Linked DNA regions of Drosophila melanogaster. The protein of the gene in region 2 interacts with the protein of the main gene of each other region in a pairwise test. Each region holds a gene or a part of one and is shown on either strand. Other genes may lie near its edges.

Region 1 (3,844 bases), 1.4 Mb from region 2:
AGCCCACGAGGTGTGGTTCACGGCACTCCTCGCGCTTGGCATCGAACACCAGGCCGGGTGTGCAGTCCAAGGTGACTCCACGTCCATTCAGGCAGTAGTAGTACGCATCCTGACGCTTCTGGTGGGCAATAAAGTGGGCGCCCTCCGATGGACACTCAATGTCGGCGAGACGTGGCGGAGCTCGGGCAAAGGGCAGGATATTCCGTTGAAGGCTCTCCACCTGAATGAAATGAATAGGTTTTTATGTGGCTCCCAGAAAACTTCAGATAAAAAAAAACACGCACCGTGCAGTTGACTTTCGAGGGGAAATCGCAGCTCTGAGTGCTTGGATTGTACTGCAGGCCACTTGTGCAGTTCTGGACTTGAGGAAGACCATCCATGCAAATGTAGTACTTGTCACAGCGAGCCTTGCTGGGTATGAAAACGATGTCATCCGGATTATTATTCCGGCTGCACAGATTGTCCACGCAGTCGACATACTGCGGATAGTCACAGCGATCGGTCAGGGCGTTGTACTGCAGTCCATCGGAGCACTGACGGATCACCGGAGTGCCGTCGAAGCAGAGAACGTACTTGGTGCACGTGCGATCGTAACAGAACGATGACAAACCACGGTTCTTACAGGATCCAATACACTCGACCTCCATCAGGGGAACACACTCCTGATCCCTCGCATCGAAGTAGTAGTCCGTGGGGCATTCACGGGGTACAGCTATCTCATCTGGGATAGAAACATGATAATGCGGTGAACTAGATATCCACAGGTGCTGGTGACTTACTCATGCACAGGAAGTACTTGCTACAGTTGCCCACCTGGGGAACAAAGAGATTGTTGACCACATTGGAGCAGACATTGACATCGCCATCAGCAGCGCTACAGCTTCCAAGCAGGGCAACCAGTGCCAAAAGGGTCAGGCGACTTATCACTTTGGAAAATAAACCAAGTTAGATCATTTCGGTTCCATAGCTGCAATTCATACTCACTATTCAAGGTTGGTTTCCTGCGGTTACTATCGTCTTACCTCGAAAAACCCCTCCATTTATAGGCAAACTCACTTGCCATTCAATCTGCGATTTGTTTTGATTCCGTGCAAATTTCCAATCTTATCGGATGTGGATGCATGTTTCCATGTGGTAATTGGATTGTTCTTCCTCATTCAAATTCGTCTGGCGGAGATAAGTTCGGTGAACAAGAGCCAATATTCAGGAACATACACCTCTGTCAGCCATTAGGAAACACGTGTATTGATGAGTCACAGTTGATCATCGAACCACGGATCGCTCAAGATCCGATGTAATTGTTACAAGTGTTTGGAATATTTGGATAGGAAGCCCCATTACTTTGAAGATCTAGAAATTATTAAGTTGTAGTTTAGGTTTAAGATTTTCTTCAAGATATATGTATGTATATTTGTTGTACAGGAAGGAAATGCTCCTAGTTAATCCAAATAGAATGTATTATTCTATAAAATTATTTTTTATTTTATTTATTTTTCTTTTCATATCTTAATCGCTAGCGCAGTAATACTTTGAATGTTTAAACCACTCGTGCACTAAAGTGATAAAAAAAAAAACCACACGTGCAAGGAAATTAAAACACTTTTCATCGATATCCACGGGTTCTGGGAACCAGTCTATTTAAAACATTTCGACTATGACTATTATCGCCAAGTTTGGTGGTGACAAATTGAAAGTCGAAATGTTTGCAGAAATAATGGCGTAGTTTTCCTCTAGAGGAGTCGTGTGCCGAAATAACCTGGTTGATAAGTGTAAATTGGCAAAAACTCATTAGGCGATGAAAGAGAGTCGATATAAAATGAATATTTCCTGGCCTGATAGCAAACAGTTGTGGCACACAGTTCAAACTATCCAGGAGTAAGTTGCTCATGCGATGGGATTCCCTATAGTTCATTTACCTAATAAATCGTAATTTCCCAAGTGAAGTGGCTATTAAATGGGCTCCTACTACTATTCATCATTTTGATGGTTCATCGGAACCGGGCCGATGAAGATCTTGTAGTAGCTCCCGGTCCAGACGACGATGGTGAGGGCCTAAATGTTCAGGATAAGGATATTTACGATATGTACGAAAACACCCAGATAAATGTCTGCGGCAATGTGGCGGATGGCGTTTATTTGCCCTATGTTGGAAATTGCTCCAAATATATCGAGTGTGAAAGTGAGTTATATACACTAAAACATCACATAAGTTTTTAAAGCAAATGAAAAATATTTTTAATACATTAAACTATCCATGTATTTAAGACAATACTATTAAGGAAGTAGGCAGCTGCTTGGATTTGGCAAAGGATAATCCAGATATTTGCGATCCGAACAAGTCGTGTGAGCTGGGCTACGATCCTGTTCTCCAAGTGTGCACCTACATGGAGGAGGTACAGTGTCTGCCCACCTGTGAGTCGTTCCGATTGAGCAGCTTCTGCTACGACAACACCTGTACCAAGTACGTGCTTTGCTATTACGGCAAACCCGTGCTACGCCAATGCCACGATGGACTCCAGTACAACAACGCCACGGATCGCTGTGACTTCCCCGAGTATGTGGACTGTGTGGCCAACGACTGTTCCGCCACCTTCCAGCCAGAGGACATCATCTACCTGGGTAGTAAGGCATCATGCAGCAAGTATTACGTCTGTTCCAATGGTCATCCGTGGGAACAGCAGTGTGCTCCTGGCTTGGCCTACAATCCCAGCTGCAAGTGCTGCGACTTTGCCAAGAATGTTAACTGCACGGTGAGTAGAAAAAGTGAAAGTGGATTTTTTTCATTTCAAATATATATTTTTAAATTGATTGTTTTGGATTGGTTTAAAGTACATTTTATACTGCTTCTGGAGTAATTTAATAATTTATTTATTTATACCTAAATATCTCTAGATTGATGCTGTAGCCAGGAATATTCTGCCATATTCCCGAACCCCTCTGCGTCGTGCTGACATTAAGTGTCCCCTTATGGGAACTCACTTCTTCCCACACAAATCTCGCCGAGATGCATATTATTACTGCGTCGAAGGACGTGGAGTCACACTAGACTGCACTCCGGGTCTTTACTACGATCCCAAAGTGGAGGATTGCCGCAGACCTGAATTCGTTGGTGTCTAACTGAGTTTTCATAAATAAATAATTACAACCTGTTGCTTTTGATTTTCGATTTTATGAAATGATAAGAGATTTTGTGAATGTAAGAAGTGATACAAATTGTTTATTCTGAAATGTTTTTTAAAAGAGCACATAACATTTTTAGTGTCGTTATTTTAAAGATTTATTAAAGGGACCAATCATTTGGTGTAAGACTCTCTTATCATCCCAAGAAAGTTCCACTAGTAAGAAATGGAAAAAAATAAATTCAATTAATTTACCAATAAAATGTTTGCTACAAAACGTTACAATTTGAATTGGATGGCCCGTTCACAATGGTGTTTTGTAAACGGCGCATGTGCTGTGCAGCCACAGTGTTTATTTTCCAAAAAAGAGAGAAAGAGTGCTCCACAGAGCACCCCATTCATGCTCTTCTGGTTGCAAACGCCAACCACCCGCTCGCCCACCGAGTGGCACGGCCACATATACAGAAAGCAAAAACAAAACGCTGTCTGTTGGCAAAAAGGAAAAAGAGGAAAACCATCCGTGGGGGCGGTGGGAAGTGAAAGAGCGCTCTGCGAAACTCATGAAAGTGAAAACGAGCGCGACGCTGGCCCAGCTGCATTCACACATTCAGTTGGCTGCGAGTCCTTGCGCCGTTCGAATCGCAGGCGAATCACCCATCGTCCAACACACAACCTCACAACCACCCACCACCCACCGCCCACCTGCGTCTCGGGCCGCAAGGTTG
Region 2 (4,920 bases):
ACCAATCACTTCAATCCATTTAAGCAATATGGAAGCTCGCGCTTCAGCGATTCCGAGAGCAAACCTTCAGCTATGGGCGGAGGCGGCAAGTTTGCAGATCGTTCTAGGTTTGAGAACAACGTATCGAGCAGCTTTGCCGCACATCGTGGTGGACATGTGGGTTCGTCGCGAGGCGGTGGCCGTAACCGGGGTGGCGGCAGGGACGAAAGGCCACCAAGAGAGGAGCGAGCCTACAGGGAAGACAGGCCTCCGAGGGAAGAAAAACCGCCGAAAGAGGAGAGACCACCGCGAGAGCGAGGAGCGTTCAATGATCGTGCAGCTGGACGTTACAAACCAGAAACGCCAACCGTAAAAACCGCAAATCGCAATGGCTCGGATAACGTATCGTTGAAACCGAATTCCGAGATTAAGCCAGATCATGAAACAACCAATGGGAAGGACCACACTGGCAACCGACGTGGCAGCGAACGAGGCAGCAATCGTGGAGGCTCCAATCGAGCAGAGAACGGCAACGCCAATGGCAACAGACGAAACAAGCCGGCAGCAAGCTTAACTTCGGCGAGTTCTGCAGCGAAATCGACAAATAGTGCTGGCGATGATTTCAACGCCCGTTTGAGTAAGATAACCGAGGAAACAGCTAATCTCAAGGTGAGCAGTGCGCCAAAGCGAGAGAATCGACGTAAGCAAGGAGGACAAGCCAATCGCCTGGCGGGATCGGGCACAGAAACAACGCAGCAGCAGCAGCCAGCACAGTTGCATTCGCAGAAGCCAGAGAAGGCTCAAACCAACCAAAAGCATCACAATCCCAGGCACAATTCGCAGGCGAACTACAGTCAATTGGCGAATGGCTACACTTACGATCCCAGCAAGATCATGGGTTTCCAGAGCAAGGAGGCCAACGAGTTTGCCATGAACCTTCTAAAGAGCCAGGGTGTTACACTGCCCAACGAAAAACAACAGGAGGAGGAACAGCAGGAATCGCCACCCATGTCCTTTGGCCCCGTTTCCGCTCCTGTTTCCCGTGCGCAACCTGCTCCAGTGGCTGTGCCACAGGCTGCGCCACGGGATCAGTTCGGCATGGTGCCAGGCGATGCGTGGATGTGGCAGAAGGGCGACTTGTGCATGGCCAAGTATTGGGACGATGGAAGGGTGAGTTTAGGTCGATAAACTGAAAGTACATTCGTAATTGTAGTAGGACAAAGTATTCAAATTGATCTATTGAACTTAACTTATCATTCCTTCTTTATTTTCCAGTATTATGAGGCTGAGATCACGGGCGTGTCGGAGAAAACTTGCGTGGTCTTCTTTATGGGCTATGGAAACCATGAGGAGGTATTGAAGGTCGACATCCTGCCCATCACCGATGCCCAAAACAGGCCACTGAGCAACTCAGCGCAGCAGCAGCAACCGCATCTGCAGCAACAGCAACCGCATCTACAGCAGCAGCAACATTCACGCTACCGCGGAGATCGTCAGACGCAGCAGCAGCAAGTCTACGTGCCGCCCCACAAACGAGAGCATTGAGACAACATGGTAACAGCCTGTTAACAACGTATTTAAATCAATTAACATGTTTCGAATAAACAACTTTACAGAATATTAAAACTATGAGTACGTATTTTGTAATCTGCTGACTTTCATATAATTTAAAGCGTACTGTTGATTACGTCTTACCTATTAAGTGAATATATCTCCTATAACGTGAAAAATTGAATTAAGCAAAGTTTTATTTAATAATTTAGTAATTAACATTTCTTTGTAAACATTATTCGAATTCGATTAATTCCTGGCGCAGTACTATCGATTGTCCCTGATTTCTGCGCGACATGTTCAGCACTATTTCGCGCCGCTGCTCAGCACTGGTGCATTTCGCGAATTTTCCCTCATACATACATAACTTATTTTTAACATTTTTCGACGTGATGTGCATTTTCTCTCATAGTTTTGTGCTTAACCATGTAAAATAGAATTAGTCCGTAGTGTACAAACAATAGGATTTAGTGCAAAGGTAACGCAAAAAGAGTGCAAAAGCCCGAAATGTACGCACAAATTGGCCAGCAAGTGTACAGCTGGCTGGCTGACTTGCCATAAACGCGCTGGAAAGGGTTCAGCGCAGTAAATTTTGCTTGCTGAGCATGCAAAACGATTAACGAGCCGTATAAATAACTGACTAATCAGATAAAAGTGCAATGCGGTCATATGCATGTATTGTGCGCATATATTTTCATATGATGGCAAAATCATCGTGTAGTACATGCGCCAGTGTTGTCAAGTTCGCATGCGGTGTTGCAAAGCGACGGTTGTCGATATTCGTGCAATGTTTTGTGCCGATTTTATTGAGCAATTAACATGGCATTAAAATAAACGAAATTAAATTATTATTGCCCGTCATTAAATGTGTTGCATGTGTCACTTCTTAAATACTGGAAAATATGATTGATCCCACCATTCATTTCCACATGCGATACTCGGCGAGTGCCTTGCGAAGTTGGCCAACACTGGCGACTGTCTGCTGTTTTCAGCACGTAAAAAGAAAAATGGTAAAATAAATCCTTCTCGATTCTCGGGCTTGGTGCAAATTTACAATTAAATACGCTTCAACCATAACCAGCCACATAAACCGTAGACTAACATCGGAAAATTCGTGAAAAGTGCCTTTGTTTAGCCTGCAAACAACTGAAAAGACAACGTCAGGCAAAGAAAATCCGGCCATGTATATAAAAAAGCCAAGAAAAATCAACATTACGCTCAAAACTTCTGGAATTTGCATTTGATCGCCAACTGCGCTCGCAATTTACTGATAAATAATACCCATTTATTGTCGCATATAAATAAAAACCGCACAACAACAAAACGCACGCATACACGCAGCGAAAAAAGTAGCAGGAAAAATAAAAGAGAGCAAGCACCTCTACCAAAAAAAAAAGCAGAAAAATAATAAGAAACAACTTGAAAATTACTTTTAATTATGCTGGCGAATTTTCTCGTTCTGTGCAAGTGTTTTCCACCGGATTCTCCTCCCCCCGAGATGCCACCCTCCTCCGAGTTTTCCGTCCCCCTTTTGTGCCGGTGCGAGTGTGAAAATTGCTCTTATGAAATTTTGCGTAACCGAATTAGAATGAAAATTGTGTAAATCGAAAAATAAAGACACAGCACTTTGGATTGTTTATCATACATATGTACATATATACATATATATTCTTAGTTGCAGGCGCACTCTATAAATCCGTCTGTATATTTGTACTAAGTACACACAATTGTTTGGGAACCGATAAGAAGCGAGATATAAACAATTTCTGTTTTGGATTTAGCGAACATTACTGGCAGTCAACGAAGATGATTTAATCAATTCTTCAATATCCAAATAATTATCCGTACAAACAAGCCGGTCTTTAAAGTAATCTAAAATGTGAAATCGCCAATAGGAAAATTCAGGACTAGAATACTTAAGATGTGAAATTGTGTGCAAATTTCAAGAACACAACGGTAATTATAAACATTAAAGATTACAACATACATTAATGTATAGTACTATTATAAACCAAAGACAATAAATGTGCTTTATTGAAATAACTAAGTGAAAGTAAACTCTACATGAGAAATAACTACTTAAAAACATAAATACGAAAGAAAACAACACGTGCTCTATAAAACCAAAAATATAACATAATATAACATAACATTAATAACATAACCAAATCTAAAAACATTACACTCAACCAATTCACAATAAAAACATAAATAAGCCGTATATCCGCCATACGAACATGAAAATAAAAACTAAAACCAAACATCTTTCTTTACAGTAAACATAATGCCCGCAAAGTATCTAAAACATTAATGTAAAAACGATAATCGATTTCTTATTATTAACCACACAAAAACTGTTAAATTGTGTAAGTATAAATTCACTGAATAAAATGATCAAGAATACAAGAATACAACTTTAAACTATCCCCACAGAATTACCGTAGAGCTTAGACGAGCGATCAAGACAAGGACCTGAAAACTTCACACATGCATGACTGACCACCCGGAGGAGCCACTAAACACCAGCCAGTAAACGATGGCCGCCGAGAAGGAGATGCAGGCCCACGACATGGTCCGACGACGGAGTTGGGCCCGTGCTGTGGCGCTCTACGACCAGCTGATTGCGCCCAGTCCCGGCCAGGGAAGCGGTGGCCAGAGTGCAGGATCAAGGGCCCAGAAGGACCAGCAGATCGCCTGCCTACTGGGACGATGCGAGTGCCTCCTAGAGCTGGGAAAGTTCGAGGGTTGTCTGGCGGACGCCTACAAGGTGCTCACGCTGCTCTCCGAGCAAACAGAGTGCCTGGCCAGCGTGTCCAGGGCACGCCGATGGCTCGTCCACGCTCTTTTCAAGATGCACAAGTACGGGGTACGTATAATCCGGAGTTTACAAGAGCTTATCCCTGCTCTTGTTTTTAAGGTTTTTCATTTCACTGCACATGCTTATATGATTTACCAAGACTTAAGTTTAAAATTCAATGAGCCTTGTATGAGATTGTAACAATGTGCCAAACATACTGAAATTTACTGGAACTATGCAATCATTACCCTTTTCCAACTTTCTTTCAGGATGCCGAAATCTTCCTGAGCAAGTGGATCAACGAGCTGAGCGGCCAGCAGATATACTCGGACATATCGAAAACCCTTGAGCGGTACAAGTCCATCATTCAGATGATCATGAACGGGCAGCACAAGGCGCAGGCCCTGAAGATCCCACACGCCCGTCTCGAGGACGAGATGGCTATACTGGATACCAAACTGGATCACTGGGCCACCAACAACCTGCCGCTGGACAAGTACAGCAAGCTGCTCAGCAACAAGGGCTTGAAGAAGCGGGAGCAGCAGCAGCAACAGCAGCAGCAACAACAGCAGCAGAATGGCAATGGAATCGGC

What was found. Proteins that work in one complex are often made in the same cells at the same time.
Region 1: the proteins of Helz (region 2) and CG10154 interact in a two-hybrid assay, tested with the Drosophila melanogaster proteins (one large-scale study listed by BioGRID).

What each region holds. Positions count from the first base shown.
Region 1 is NT_037436.4:13,435,127-13,438,970, reverse strand, and holds CG10154 (uncharacterized protein), read left to right. Parts: upstream 1-1,834; 5' UTR 1,835-1,874; coding exon 1,875-1,875; intron 1,876-1,939; coding exon 1,940-2,179; intron 2,180-2,265; coding exon 2,266-2,750; intron 2,751-2,892; coding exon 2,893-3,117; 3' UTR 3,118-3,291; downstream 3,292-3,844. Other genes in the region: CG10725 (uncharacterized protein), read right to left, coding at 1-220, 285-721, 780-926, 985-985.
Region 2 is NT_037436.4:14,788,065-14,792,984, forward strand, and holds the start of Helz (helicase with zinc finger), read left to right. Parts: upstream 1-1,870; 5' UTR 1,871-2,008; intron 2,009-2,486; exon of another isoform or gene 2,487-2,540; intron 2,541-3,372; exon of another isoform or gene 3,373-3,486; intron 3,487-3,806; 5' UTR 3,807-3,896; intron 3,897-3,963; 5' UTR 3,964-4,066; coding exon 4,067-4,396; intron 4,397-4,596; coding exon 4,597-4,920. Other genes in the region: Tdrd3 (tudor domain containing 3), read left to right, coding at 1-1,149, 1,255-1,524.